2 linked regions of the Oreochromis niloticus genome follow. The protein of the gene in region 2 interacts with the protein of the main gene of each other region in a biochemical or structural test. Links are inferred from orthologs where the notes say so. Each region holds a gene or a part of one and is shown on either strand. Other genes may lie near its edges.

What was found.
Region 1: of the proteins of sik2b (region 2) and CREB-regulated transcription coactivator 2, one has a biochemical effect on the other in vitro, tested with the Homo sapiens proteins (2 studies listed by BioGRID). The link is inferred for Oreochromis niloticus from reciprocal best matches to the Homo sapiens genes SIK2 and CRTC2.

The regions. Positions count from the first base shown.
Region 1 is NC_031976.2:38,038,966-38,046,657, forward strand, and holds the start of CREB-regulated transcription coactivator 2, read right to left. Parts: upstream 3,048-7,692; 5' UTR 2,949-3,047; coding exon 2,781-2,948; intron 1-2,780. Other genes in the region: slc39a3 (zinc transporter ZIP3), read right to left, coding at 6,104-6,772. UniProt on the Homo sapiens protein: Transcriptional coactivator for CREB1 which activates transcription through both consensus and variant cAMP response element (CRE) sites.
Region 2 is NC_031979.2:21,140,645-21,148,082, forward strand, and holds the start of sik2b (serine/threonine-protein kinase SIK2), read left to right. Parts: upstream 1-4,333; 5' UTR 4,334-4,760; coding exon 4,761-4,898; intron 4,899-7,438. Other genes in the region: laynb (layilin), read left to right, coding at 1-5, 960-1,037, 1,142-1,259, 1,368-1,695. UniProt on the Homo sapiens protein: Serine/threonine-protein kinase that plays a role in many biological processes such as fatty acid oxidation, autophagy, immune response or glucose metabolism.

The sequences.
Region 1 (7,692 bases), on a different chromosome or scaffold from region 2:
AGCAACCAGCTGCTGCCCACTGGTTAACTCATCAGCAGCAGGTGTGAGCACCTGTGTAAAAGCAGAAGTGTTGCAGCACTCAGGTGTGCTAACAGGATGCCACAATCTTCCCAGGAGTGAACATCCCACCACATTCATCCTGAAACCCCCCCCCACAGATCTCTGACTCTACAGGCCTCATTTAGAAGGTTAAAGGTCACAACAGCCAGCTGAGGTTTGTAACGCTGCAGCAGACTTCAGCAACAGACGAGAGTAAAGTGCACAGCAGCAAACGGCTCACTGTGAGCGCGGTGAAGGAGGGATGACGATCCGAGTGGACCGTGAACTCCTCTGTATATCAGAGTATTCCAGAGCCAGAGTGAGGCCGTGTGTCCTGCAGCTGAAGCTCGGACCAATCGGCAGGACGGTGATCCGAGCACAGACTTCAATGAGCTGAAGCAACGCTGTGAAGAAGAGCGGACCCAAACTCCACAGAGATCTGATAAAGGCTGATAAAGTCACACAGGAAAGCGTCACTGCTGAGGGAGGCTCTACGAGCTGCTGAATCATGGGGTGGACTCCGTTTGCCTCACACTGCAGAGGGTCCAGTGAGATCCTCCTTCTTCACATGACTGTATGAGTTCAGAGAGAGCTCGGTCATGTCCTCGGGTTAAACTCCTGGATCTGCTCCAGACCTGCAGGTTTCTACCCGACGAATGACCAAGCAGCTCTGACACGATTCACCTGTCAGCGAGGTCAAGCCAATAATGATGGAGATCATGAAATCAGAGGGTGAAACCATCAAACCTGAGGATATTTTCTGTTTTATCACGCTTTCATAATCCCTGGAGGCCAAAATCTTTACAGAAGACCTAAACAATCAGCCCTGATCCACAGTGCCCGACTAAATCCATCTGAGCTACACAGAACCAGCACAGAACCAGGACCGTTCTCAGGACCAACTCGACCCCACAAGGAAACTAAACAGCCCCTCATAATGATAAGAAGCTGCAGCTGCTGGTCCTGGACCTGCTCGGTGCAGCACCTGCTGCAGCTTCTGGTCTGAGTGACTCTCCAGAACCAAACCAGGACCATCAGCAAGAGCTGCAGTTCAACAGAGAGGGGAAGAAGCCTGTCTGACCTGCAGCAGCGTCCAGAGCAACTCACACCTTCCAGACAGGAAGAACAGAGCAACTGAACTTTCAGAATAAGAGTGTGGGAGTGTAAAGATACCTGCACAGCCTCCCACGTTCATAAACAGTGAGCTGAGCCGTTTCTCATTCACTCGTGTATGAAATAAACACGTTTATGAAGGATGTGACTGGATGTCAGCCTGAAGCATTTGTGTTTCTGTTCAGCCGTCGGGCCCACGGCTCTTTGGTTTGAGTCCAGGAGAAGGTGTGGTCTACTCTGGTCCATAAGTAAGTCCCACCACTCAGCAGCCACCTTCAGGCATTTCCTGAACTACCTTTAATTTTGTGCTCTATGTGTAGAATCACTATCACATCTAAGGTGAAACTAAAATAAATAAAAGGTTTATTTTGAAGCCTTCATTTCAAAATAAAGGTTTGCTGACTTTGACCCAAAATAAGTCTTGAAGGATGAACTTTTACCACTGTGTGATTATTTCAGTGCCACATCTCTCTGTGTGTTCTAATACTGTCCACTTCCTGCTGTGACAAAACAAATTTCCCACGTGTGGGACTAATAAAGGTTATCTTATCTTATCTTAATAAAACTACACAAACGCACCTAAAAACTCCAAACCCCACTGCAGCATCACGGGCTGGACTGAGAGAACAAAAACACCAGCTTCATTTAAGCATAATAACCCACAGCAGGGAGACCAGGATCAGTGAAGTCACAGCTTCAGAAACACACACCTTTAAACTTGTAATAATTCGTCAGAAATGACCTCAAACATCAAAAATAAACTGACAGCCAGACTCCCACATTTTCCCAGGGCAGTAAACACACCAGCAGAGACCACCTGCCTTCACACTCCGACCCTCTCACCTGCTTCACACCTGAGGGTGTGTTTCAGATCACAGTGACACCCACACATCACCAATGACAGGGTGACATTAACACATCCGAACCAATCGCCCACCCTGACATTAAAGAGGCGCCGCCAGGCCAGAGTCCGTGTAAGGCATGCACGATTTAAGGTAAACTTTCCCGGACAGGGTGGACAAAGATAAAATCACCACGTCAGATCTGTAAAACGCACACATTTGTTCCACAAGTCAAAGCGGTACGAAACAAATCAAAAATAAAATCAGACTATTTTCCTTAAGAGACACAAAACATGAGTAATGGAAGCTTCCTCTACCTGCCGTGAAACCAAAGCCTGTCAATGGCTGACATTAACGCCGAAGTTGCCAAAGGGACAAAATAAACACCCCGAATTAATTAAGTCGTAGGTGTTGGATGTGTGTGTGACGTGAGGTGACGTCGCGTTAAAATGTCCGGTTTTTGGCCGGAGTTCTGCGGGGCGCTGCGGGGCTGACAGCGACGTTCACGTAACATAGTAAACAAGACAAGGTAGCCGCGTTAGCTTCGAGCGCTAACTGCGCTAACGATGTATCGGAAATGAAGAGCAGCGCGTCCCGGAGAGCACAAACACTCAACAAAACCCACACACTGCGTCCCCACGAGGTGATCGCCGCTAAAACTGCGCAAAATCTCAGTAAAGCGCCGCGCAGAGACACCGCACAGCGCTCTCCCGGAGCCCGACGAGTCCGGGCAAGGCCTCGCTTCCTCCAGCAGCTCTCCTCCTCCTGCCGCCGCCTCTCACTCACCCTGGTCGAAGTGATGTCCATCATGACCTCCTGGAAGGCGGCCGTCTCCTCGGCCTGCCGCTGGGTGTGCAGTGCTATCTTCTCGCTGAACTTTCGCGGGTTGGACGCCCCGGAGCCGGCGCCCGAGGCGGGTCCGGGTCCACAGCCGCCTGAGCCCGTCGCAGACATCTTCACCGAGCGGACGGGACGAGCTGACGTAGTGGAACGATTTCAGAGAGGGGCGGGGTGAAGAGGGATCACTCCGCCGCTTTTTCTGAGCACCAAAACCAGCAGCGAGTCTGCGCCGAAAGCCCGCAGCGGGACCAACCGAAACCCGGCCGAAAACACCCCGCCGGAGGACCGGGTTCACAGCCCGCTGGAGGACCGGGACCGGGTTCACAGCCCGGAGCTGACGAGGCAACAGCTCTGTTGTTGGTTTTTCTTTTAATTATTTTTTCAATCCTGAACAAACAAAACAGCGTGTTCAGTCCTTTTGTGTTCATCTTGCTAATAATTAAAAATATTTACAAAAGTAATTTAATTGATTTAAATAATGGAACGTATTTCTGTTCTCTTAATCATTCATTCATTTCATTTTTAATTCAAAGTTGAATTAAAAAGTCTGTGTGGGGGGGGTGTCCTATGGTAACAGCTACTTAAGTGAGGTCACGTGGACGTAGTTCAGCGTTTCTTCGTGGGAAGTGAGACCTCTGACTCACAGACCAGCTAAGATGGCTCGGCTGAGGTGTGTTGGCGCCCACTGCCGGCAGAGTTCAGCCGCTGCAGGCTGAACAGCTCCTGCTCCTCAATTTCCCCCAGCTGCAGAAATTAGAGGTCAAAGGTCAAGGTGGGGATCCTCTTCTTCCTTACTGTGTGAATATGAGATTAATCCGAGTCTGTGGACGACAGAATGCAGAAGAAGAAATCTTCAGACCACCTGTAGTTCAGCCGCGTCACCTCGTTTTTGAGTCTTCACTGTGATTTAGGGTCAAAGTTCCTGTTTTATTTCTGATGTAACGATGAGGTCAGCTGATCACTTTGGCCTTTTCATTGTTTGCTAATAAAGTTTTGTTGTAAACACGCTCTGTGACTGCTGCTGTCACCTGTGTCAGGGCTCGTTCGCCACCTTCGTGCGCGTCCTTAAATTCAGCTCCTGTCACGTTTGTGGTGATTGTGTTCAGCTGCGAACGCTCTGCTACTGTCCTCTCAGGTGCACTGATGAGGTCACACAGGTGTCACTGTGTTGCTGAACTGTTGTGCGCTCACACTGTGTCATCACTCCCGTATGTGTTTTTGGCTCACCAGTGAAACTGTGACATGAACGAGGTGATCACACACACACACACACACACACACACCGTGTCAGCGTCTGCGGTGGGAAAGCTGAAAGCTGACCGACCGCAGGTGGCTCGGACTGAAGTGAAAGAGGAACGCTCAGCGGCGCTCCGGCTGCTTCCCGTTCTGATTCTTCACCTGAACAAGGACACGCATCACATCCTGACATCAGCGAGGTCATCACTGAAGAGCAGCTGCCAAGAAACCGGCCTATAACCACGGCAACCACAGGTTACTAGGGAAAAATGAACCGGCTGTCAGCGACCCAGAAACCTGCAGCGACCACTCAGAGTTGACGTTTACCGCAGGGGTCGCCGTTCGGTCTGTAGGCCCGTGCCACCGGGTCGTCGCCACGGTGGTTTGTTTTTCGCTACGCTCCAAGGTCACGTGGTACAAACTTGTTTTCAGGGCAGTTCTCATTTAGCTTTAAAAACACAGAACACTTGTTTCCTGTTTCACAGGAACACAGACTGTATGTAAAAGATGGACCTAGCACAGTGACCGCCGCCATGTTGGTTTTCTGCCTGCAGTTTACATAAAAACACTTTTTTGTTTGTTCCTCAGATAAAATGAGAATAAAAACGTTTTCCGTCGGCTCGAGCGCCCGATGTGTTTGGATACGATGGACGGTCGGCGGCTAAAGCTGAGGACAAAAATCCATCATGATGCGTCATCGCTGCTCAGACTGTTTTCACGCGTGGCGAGGTGGTCATGTGACTGTCGAGCTGTCGGACTTCGTCCTGGATCAGTGCTGCTGATCCACTGATAAGTAATCACAGTTTATCTTTGCCGAGTAATCAGATTACAGGAGCTGAGAAAGCGTCACGCAGCAGAGGTTTGACTTAACGTCTCTGAAAATACTCGAGTCTTATTGTAATCGACTACTTTTACTTCAGTACAGACGTGCGTGTCTGTCCGCAGCAGCTTTATGTTTCTGCATTTCTGCTTCCTGTCGCTTCGTTTGACGAGCTGCTCGGTGCTGCGGCCATCTGTCCCGTGCGGCTGCAGGACGCCGCCTCATGAAATAAACATTCAAACACGCGTGTTTATTTTCTGTATAATTTGATACAAACTTGATTACAGTAAATTTACATGTTTAAAAATACTTTAATTACAAAAAATAAGTGTTTGAATCCTGCTGTCAGTTAAAATAGAGCTCTCCACTAAAAATATACTCTCCTCCGGCTCGGCGGCTCCAAACGTTCCAGTCAGATTTCTGAAGGTTTTCCAGACGTCGGCTCAGAAATCCTCGTTTAGCAACACGTTAGTCCTAAAAACTGAAATCAGCCACAGCTCTGGGTCGCTCCTCTGAGGCGAGCACATCAGAGGTTTGTGGTTGGTGGATCACTTCAGGCTTTCCTCGGGATTTTGTTCACGAGGAGGTCGGAGTATTGGTCATGTGATCGGGGTCTTTGCTCCGTTGGTCGCTTCTTCGATGCAACTAAACAGCCAAAGCGTCTCCACGTGGAACCTCCAATAAAAGCTGCCAAACAGGAAGTTCGGACGGGTCGACGACCTGCCGTCACGCTCCGTCAGCCATCAAATATGGCCGCTGTCCCGCTGCACCCCGAACTCTGAGATCGCGCCGCAGCAGGCCAGTCTGCTTCCCATGATGCACTTCTTCACTCCCTGGGGGTTCGATCGCCTGCTGCGGCTCCTTAGCTTCATCCCGCCTCCCTGAGCCTGCCAGAAGTTTCTTCCTGTTAAAAGGGAGTTCTCGCTCCCCGCTGTCACCAGGTGCGGCTCACGGGGGTTTGTCTGATTGGTGGGTTTCCGTCAAACCCTGCAGGTGGTCGGAGGAGACCTCGAAGGAGGACACGAGCCAAACTTTAACGGATCAGGTTTGTGGGGCTGTTCTGCTCCTCCCCCTGGCGCTCTCGCGTCGTCGTTGGTTTAAGTCTTCCTCTCTCAATAACGTCAAAGAAATTAAAAACGTGTTCCTAATGAAGCTCTGAACCATGTGACGCATCTGAAGTCGCACACGGAGCTCGCCCTCTCGCCATCTGCGTCTACAGTTTGATGAAGAGCACGGCGGTCACTACGGCAAAGCCCACCAGTAGCACAGCCACCTTGGCGATGCGGTTCCTGCCAGCGGCAAGCTCGTGCGGCAGGATCTCCATGAAGGTGATGTAGATGAAGGTTCCCGCCGCCAGCCCCTCCAGTGTGCAGCGGGCCAGCTGGTGCCCCGGCGATGTCTTGGTCTCGCTGAGGCCAATGCCCAGGCCAACGCCCAGCGGCGACATGACGGCGAACAGCAGGAGGCAACCGACCACCACAGAGCGGCGCAGCCGGGCCTGAGACAGCTTCACCGTCAGGCTGAAAGAGATGATGCTCTTGTGGATCATCAGGGCGAGGCAGATCTCCAGCACCTCCTGCCCCTTCTCCAGCAGCCCCACCGCCAGCCCCTCGAACACCGAGTGCAGCGACAGCGAGAAGACCAGAATGAAGGCGCGCAGGGCGGACTGAGATCCAAAGTCCACGTGGAAGTGACCGTCCGAGTCCGCCGAGTCCTGGCGGCGGCGGTGATCGTTGGATTGGATGCTGGAGTCCACCAGCAGAGAGCGCCGCTCCTCCGGGGACGGCGACGTCTGGTCCTTGAAGGCCAGGATGATCTGCTCCAGGACCAGGACCAGGAAGAAGCCCATGGCCACGATGAACTCGGGCAGGGGGAACTGCAGCTGAGGGAGGAAGAGGAGGAGAAGAAGAAGAGTCAGCTTGAGATACCTGTGTCTGGATTTACCTCCAGGTCCAAAACTAAGAAATGTTCAGAAATCTGAATGTCCGAATAAATCATCGGAAAAACATCAATATTTAATAAAACGTTAAAAGTAGAAACTCCAGAAGATTCTCATCGTCATAGAGACATGATCAATAACACGTGACGTACATAATCGGAGCTGCAGCTACAACCAGATTACATCCCTGGAAGTACCTGGGACAATTTCGTGGCCTTTGCATTTTTTAATTTCAAGCCATTTTCACTGTAATTTTTGTTTTTAAATTTTATTTTAAAATTTCAGTCTGAGTTCCTTAAATGAGCTTAAATGGCTGAGCTACAGACACATTCTCTCGAACCTCGTGGTCGATTTCTGCCCCATTGAAAACCATTATAAACGCTATTTTTCATTGCACGATTATTATAACTTAAGTTAATGCAGTCCTCTAAGTCTGCTTTAAAAAGTGAAAAAAAAGTGGTGTTGTGTGTCACTATAAATGTTGGATACTGGTATGTGTGCTTTTTTTAAAAAATATAAAGGTCTTTATGCCTAAAAAAAGGAAAAAAAAAGACACAAACACACTTTTTTTTCAAAAGTATTTCACAGTATTTTCTCTCAGACGGCCACACTGCAATGCAAACAAAGTAAATATAAAAGCAAGGACCAAAACCAAATTAGATTTTATTTTTCCCTTCAAGCTCATTTTTTAAACACGGCTGCAGTTGAATGAACCCCGCCCCGGAAGTAGTCATTGACGGAAAGCAACACAGCCACAGAGCGCTTGGAACGGAGAACGGAGCGGCGCACCATCTGCAACTGTCACGGATCGGGTAGCGAAGAGGACATGGACGGGAACAGTCACAGGAGGATTTCAAAAATCT
Region 2 (7,438 bases):
CGCAGGTACTTGTCAGCTTAGAAATGCAAATATTAGAAGGTGATACACCTCTGTACTCACGTCTGCTGTGTACTGTGCATTCTGAAAACAACCATGTATTCCATGTAATGTGATCACATGAAAATTGTTATATTATACATAATATTGTGTATGTTCGATTACATTTTGTTTATTGTCCTTTGAGACAACCAACACCTGCAGGAAGCATCCTAATCAGATGCCTGAACCACTTCGACTGGCTCCTTTCAATGTGGAGGAGCAGCAGCTCTACTCCAAATCCAATTTGAATAACCGAGCTCTTCACCATCACTTTAAGGGAGAGCTCCACCACCCTTTTCATTGCTTATATCTGCAGCCTCATTCTTTTGGGTATTATTACAGTCTTCATAAATACATAAAAGGCTAAAGAAAATTTATACATGCTTGTGACCTCTTTTAAACACTTTTTCTCCAAGAAACATGGTAAATGGGCTGGATATTTATACTACATGCGTCATTCACCCATGCACACCTATTCATAAATCACTTTTTTCTACTCATAAATCCTTTCTAGCTAAATTTCACACACATTCATACTCCGATAAATGCGTTGGGGAGCAACCTGAGGTTCAGTATCTTGCCTAAGCATATTTGGTATGCAGACTGGAGCAGCCAAGGATCCAGCCACCAACCATATAAAGATAAAACATGAAGAACACACAGATACAAAACGTATTCTCTGGAGAACTCTATTTTTTTAACTGCTAAATTTTCTAGAAATTAAAATGCAACTGTCCTCTGCAGTAGAACATATGCGTCAGCTGTTATAGTCTATCTATGGGTGAGTTTAGTGAAATCATACATTATGTGATAACAAGATAGATAGATAGATAGATAGATAGAGATAAATTAGGGACTAATCGAATCATTTAAAATATTTTTCACACGCACCTGTTGATTTTGTTTTCTGGTTTCTCCAGTTCCATCTGTGATTCCAAGCATACTGTCAACCACAGAAAGTAACGAAAGGATAAAAATAGCACTACCTGAATCCTCTGGTAAGAAAGGAAAGAAAATATTCTTGATGCTCGGAGTCAGCGCAGTATGTTTTGGGAAACTATGAAAAACCACTGTGTCACAAGCAAAGTTCTTTTGTTCGCAGTATCTTTCTCTGGCAACACCCTCAACATTTCCTACATCCTTTATGCAACTATCCCTGCGCTGCTGTTGCTGTTGTTTGCAGCTGCTGGTTTCTTTTGCTACAAACAGCATGCTAAGAGGTAAAACTATAACTATAAAAAGCTATGAGAGATTTTTTTTTTTTTAAATGCATTTGATTATATGAGTATGTCCTGTTGATTTTAACTTGGGCCCTCTTTCATATTTAGGAGGAAGACAGAAACAGAAAGCTATCCCAGCAGATCAAAACAGTGGGTGCTAGCAACAGCTTCATCTTGCCCTGTGCAAGGACCTTATGCCTACAGTGACATTACCAAACTGCCTCACACTGCTCTGGACAGCAGGATAGCAGCAGAAATCATGACAAAGTACTCCGGTTCTCCGTCCCATGACTCCCAGTGCAACGATTATGAGAATGTGTCGTGTGTGGACAATGAGAGCGGCTTTGTCACCAATGACATTTACGAGCCCTGCAGAGCTCAAAGCCGGCGCTGCCGCAGTCAGACTGGATGGGTGGAAAATGAGATCTATGGATAACACCGGTGTCTGCAAATGTCCGTCAACCACAGACAGACTACAGTTACACTGTGCGGTGCAGGATTTCTAAGCAGCTTGGCCATATCTGCACAGGTTTCACTCAGTTTTCTAGTCCTGCATGTAGAATGTACTGTGTCTGCAAATCAGTGTATTCCATAAAACAGGGATTCTTAATGTTTTGTCCATGACTCAGTATTCACCTACACATGACTTTATATTTCTGATGTTTTAATAAAAATGTGTTACAGTCAGACCAATGGCACTGTTAGCTCCGTGAATCACTGTGATAGCATGCTGATAGATGTAGACACATTGTTTTCCATATTCACCATCATAGTATGGATGCCCAAAATTGCAGACTAGTTCCACACACTAAATAAAGCTGAAGCTAATCGAATCTGATTGAAAAAGAAAAGGATGAGAAGTTAAAGGACTGCCAAAGTGATTCTGAAGAGGGCACGGATGTGTGTATACAATTTCATAGTAATCCATCCAACAGCTGTTGAGACCCTTGTTGTAATCCACTAATCTTATAGTGGCATTACTACATTACAGGCTATGCACTGAAATGCATAGGCTGGAAACTGCAAAAATACAAAACCAAATCATGTCATAAAGGTTCCAATATTTCATAAGGTTAATGAAAAGTGGGTGAAGATATTACAGAAAAGTTCAAGTGGAATATCAAAAGCATTAGTCTATTTATTGTCTGGGGAGAATGCACAAATTTTCAAGGCAAATTTTGGTCCTGTATTAAAGTAATTCAGGCTAAAGAGGCAGGCCATCTGATAGACTGCTGATAATGCTGTCCTTAAAAATTGTGTTATATTTTAAGTTAACTGAATAAATGGTAAGATCAATTCATCAAGCAGCTAAAGATGTAGGTCATGTACAGGTCTCTAAGCTAAACTAACGGAATGGGCTTTGAGTAATTTTTTATGTTTCAACTCAAAGAAAAACACGTTTTTGTGCCCACTTATTTCCTTTGTTCAGTTTAAACCTTCAGCTCTAATAAATTATGCAACATTACAGCAGCACTAAAGTTCTTAGAGGTTTTAGGAGGCATTAATGAAACCAAAGAAGCATTAATAGTTCAGGTCAGCTTGGTGGTGCAGCAGTGCTGCTGAATCTGACATAACAGATTATGCAATTAGCCTAATCCTGTAATATTGCACCCCCACAGGGTTACTCATTTTGTAAACAATTGTACATTAAACTACTCAGCTTCTCTTTTTAAAATAATGTCAATGGATATGATGAGTCAGAAGACAGAGAGGGTTTGCGTGTTGGCTTGCTGCTGTGATGGAGACTCCAACCCAGGGACTTTTTTGACCTTTTCTCTAAACTTGAACTTTGGTGTCATCCCTGTGTAAGGCTTCCTGTTTGGTCTCTGATGTCAGAGCCCAGCAGAGAACATGAGGAAACACCGATGGCTGAACTGCTGTGGCCAAAATAAACCTCAAAGTTGTGCGGTTTCCTGACTCCACCTGATTGTGCACGAGGTTCAACTTTCCCACTGATCTGACAGAAACTTGAGGCCAGTTTAGAATATATCACACCGTTAATCAATGCATGTGCATTTCCATGTTCATTTTTAAAGATCACTCTTTGCGTTACGTATACAAATGTCTGTGTTTTTTTCTAAATGTGCACCGAGTGGGTGTTGGATCGGTGTCTTGGAAAGATGTAGCAAGCCCAGTAAGGAGAGGCTGAGTGTGTTCTTGGAGAATGTTAGACAGGAAATGCCAAAAGCACATCTGGAACTCTTACATTCAGGAAGTCGATGCGTGACAGCGGAGGCCTTTGGAGCACTGCTCTGCCTGCCTGCTTAGCAATCCACTGTTCTGTTTGACTGTCACTACACAACATGAAGAAAAGCAGTGCCAGTTGCAGAGCTGTGCTGCAATTCAGACATGAAGATAGTTTCTTTTTCTGATGTGTAGTTAAGATATTTTGGCTGCATTCTTTGTTTAATAATAATATAGATATACTGGTGGGATCTGCTTGAAAGCTGCTTGAAAGCATGAAGCGTGATAAGTCAAGCACTGGGGAAAAGGAAAATATGGAGCCTCGCTTCAGTTTTCTACTTTTGCCAACAGATGGTGCTGTCATGTAGCTGACAAAAGTTTCTTTGTGGCTGATAAAATGTCTGATTTTATATGAGGCTCTGTGTATTCCATTATGTAATGTTATAGATTAGAAATGCAGTTGCATAGCTGGATTAATCAGCTACACACACACACACACACACACACACACATATATATCTATATATATATATATATATGTATGTATATATATAAAAGCAACACTAGCTGTTTGTTTGGTTTTTTGCTTCTTAAATTATTATTTTTTACTTTTTTTTGCAGACCCCACTCTGGAGGCTTTCAGGCCGGTTCAGACCGCTTTTAGCTCCTGTCTCCCCCTGCATTTTTCACTCGCAGCCGACAAAAGCTTATTAAACACCTGCAGGGCAAAAACTTCAAAGTTACCTATGCGTGCAATCAAGAAGGGCAGGCGAGCAAACAGATTTCAGAATAGCAATTTTACCGGTTGACGTAAGAGGTGGGTCTGGTTGTCCTGGCAACCAATTGGCACTGAAGTGTGGAGCGGCTCGGTGGCCCCGCCCCCTGTACAAATACCCCTATGGCTTTGACGTCAATACACGTCAACCGGAGAACATGATGCCTCTTTGCAAGTCAACTCGTGTGCTCTGTCGCTGATAGAGGCGCCTCAAGCTGAAATATTATAGCTCTATTGTACTGAAGAACGTGGTGTGACAGCCCGCGGGCTCAGCAAATGGCCAGCTTCGTATCGCCACACTAGCGGACAGGGTCGCCACAGTCGCGTTCAGGCGGCCGAGGGCGACACAGAAATCAACTTTGTGTATTTTTAATGGACACGCTTCGAGCGGCGGCGGTGGCAGCAGCGGCGGTGGCGGGCGGTTTGTTTTCCTTTCGTCTTTATCTCGAGCTGCTCAAGTAAGCCCCAGTCTGCCCCTCGTGTGTCCCTGCACGTCTGGCTGCCTCCTACTCTTCCACTGAACAGTCCCGTTTTAGAACAGCATGGTCATGGCTGACAGTGTCCAAAAACCGCTGATCCGGGGTCCGGTCCGAGTGGGCTTCTACGACATCGAGCGCACTTTAGGAAAGGGCAATTTCGCTGTGGTGAAGTTGGCCCGACACCGCATAACCAAGACGGAGGTGAGTGTGTGAGCAAACTAGTTAGCCCGAAAGCTAACTTGTGCTACTGTTTTAGCGGAGTTATATAACTTTTATGCACAAGTTGACACCCCTAGATAGCGAAATGCTCTCCAGCACCGTGCACTAAATAGCATCTTTGGATCATATAACTACCGGCCACTTGGACTGCTCCGGTTCGAGCAACAGCTGGTGTGCCTGAAAGCTTGCAGGTACAGGAGCAGTGAATGACTGCACGTTCACCCCTCTCAGCTGACATCACTGCCAGTAAAAAAAAATAAATAAAAAAAAGGTCTGACCACTAGAGCTGCTGGGAAACACAAACTGTAAACATGCATGCTTTATTATTATTTTTATTTATTTGTTTTTCTGCACATGCATCCGTTTGGTTAATGACCCAGACGGCAGCCACAGTGTACCTACTCAAGAGTGACTGGTGCCGTATCTGGGGCATGCAGCATGGGTCGGTGGTCCCCTTATGTAATTCAAGTAATGATGTGATTTTTTTTTTATTTTATTTTTTTAGTTGTTTCTTATCTCAACACTGCTCAGAGCTTTGTGATGAGCAGGGTATGTCATGTCAGATATGCTGTAATTGGAAAGCAAAGTATTTTGCATGCACTGCTTTTTAGGGGGGTGGGGGTCGAGGGTCTTAACTAAGCTTGGAGTGATATTAGAAACATTGCACACTCTTAGGCAATGCAGCATGAGTGCAGAGGGAACAGGGCTCGGGGTTTGTTTGAGTTTACTTCTGGGTTTATGTCAGCTTTGTGCAGAAGGGCCCTTTCTCAACCAGTACCACGGAGTGCCACGACTTTCTGCTGTAATGACAGAGACACAAGGAATTTGCTGTAAAGGGTGTTCAGTTAGAAAAAGAAAAGGGGGCAAAGGAAAAAAATAAAATAAAAGCTGTATTGTGTGAGACAGTGATAAGACTGGAGAGCTGCTGCACACTTTGATCTCTGGAGCCTCCAACTGATTACACCGTACAGAAAAAAACAAAGATTTACATCATCCAGGCGAGACCCTTGGTAGGTTTAATGAATAACAAGGCAACAAAATGGCTCTGTAGACTCTTATCTTGTTACTCTGGTTATTAAAGCACGCAAAGTGGCACAGCATTAGTCTAGCCAGGTAATCTGCACCGTGTAACATTAACAGCTCTGTGAATGCAGGTTTTAATTTCAGGCAAACGTTACACCAGGTGATTTCACTAAGCGACTACACCTCTCCCTCAGCTGGAGTGGTATTAAAGATGAATGAAAACATGGGTTGTTTTTTAGGCTGGGTTTGGCAGAGGTCACTCAGTGATGGTCAGTACGGAGAGCGAATGCAGCTGCCTAGCTCTGGCAGTGGGCCTGGCACTGTTGTTTTTTTAATTTTTTTATTTTACAGCAGCCAAGGTCAGCCGGAGTGGCAGGCTATTAACTTATGTGATGCCATCTGCCTTGAGAATTTGCCCGGGCACAAGTGATATTAGCATAGTGTAAAGAAAACCAGTGTACTGACACATGAAACAGCAGATGTGGTGCGACGATGTGAATGTGTGGGCATATTCCCGGACAGGTTTATCTCTGTGTAAATAACCTACTTATTCTGTGCGTGGCCCCTGCATGTGATACTGACCCATTCATCCCAGTAAGTACATATTGCAGCTTGTGGCTTTACATACTGTTGAGCCATTCCCTTCTGGTCTTGTGTGTCAGCTCAGCAAGTAGTACATCAATCCATATCTGATTATAGCGTCATCATGTCTTTCTGCTTTCATTGTATGAGCTAAATTCCCCTCTAACTCATTGTCCTCCAGTGACCTTGTGCCAGCACAGTTCATGAGAAGTCTTATGTGCTGTGTGTGGGTTTAGTTTTGTTGACAATGTAATCAGCTAGCACAGATCTTTTCATGTTAGGTGCTCTGTTGTCCCTCTGTAGCAGAACAAAGATTTTGAATCTCATGCTCGAAGGGTCTGCACAGGTAGCTGGAGTGCCATTAAAAGATTTCAATTTAATCCTGAATTGAACACCTGCCTGTACGTAGCTAGGGAGATGATAATGGAAAGTGTTAAACCTATCAAAATACCCATTGCTACTCATCTGTAAGTCCAAACTGTTAATATGTTAAAGGCAGGTCAATAAGTTACAGATCTGTCGTTAAAATAAAAAGCTGTGCTCACGCTCCGTGCAAGAGAATGCATTACATTTCCTTGACTTACTTGAATAATACCGCTTCACTGACACAGTGGGCTTGAACCTAAAAAAAAAAATATGCAGTGCACTGTGATAGTCGATCACTGCAACTTTCCTGATGAAAATTTTAGTAATGTGAAAAGAATCTGCTGTTTATATGATCGTCACGCTACAGACAAAATGCCTGTGATAAGTGCCCGGATGAAAATCCAGTGTCAGACAGTATTATTTTGGAATCAGATAAATCCTCAAACCACATGACTCTGTAACCCAACTTGCCTTTCTAAGATAGTACCCTATAGTCTGTGCTGCCACATTCTTGTTTTGTCTAAGCAGTTCCAGAAGTCAAATTTATTCAG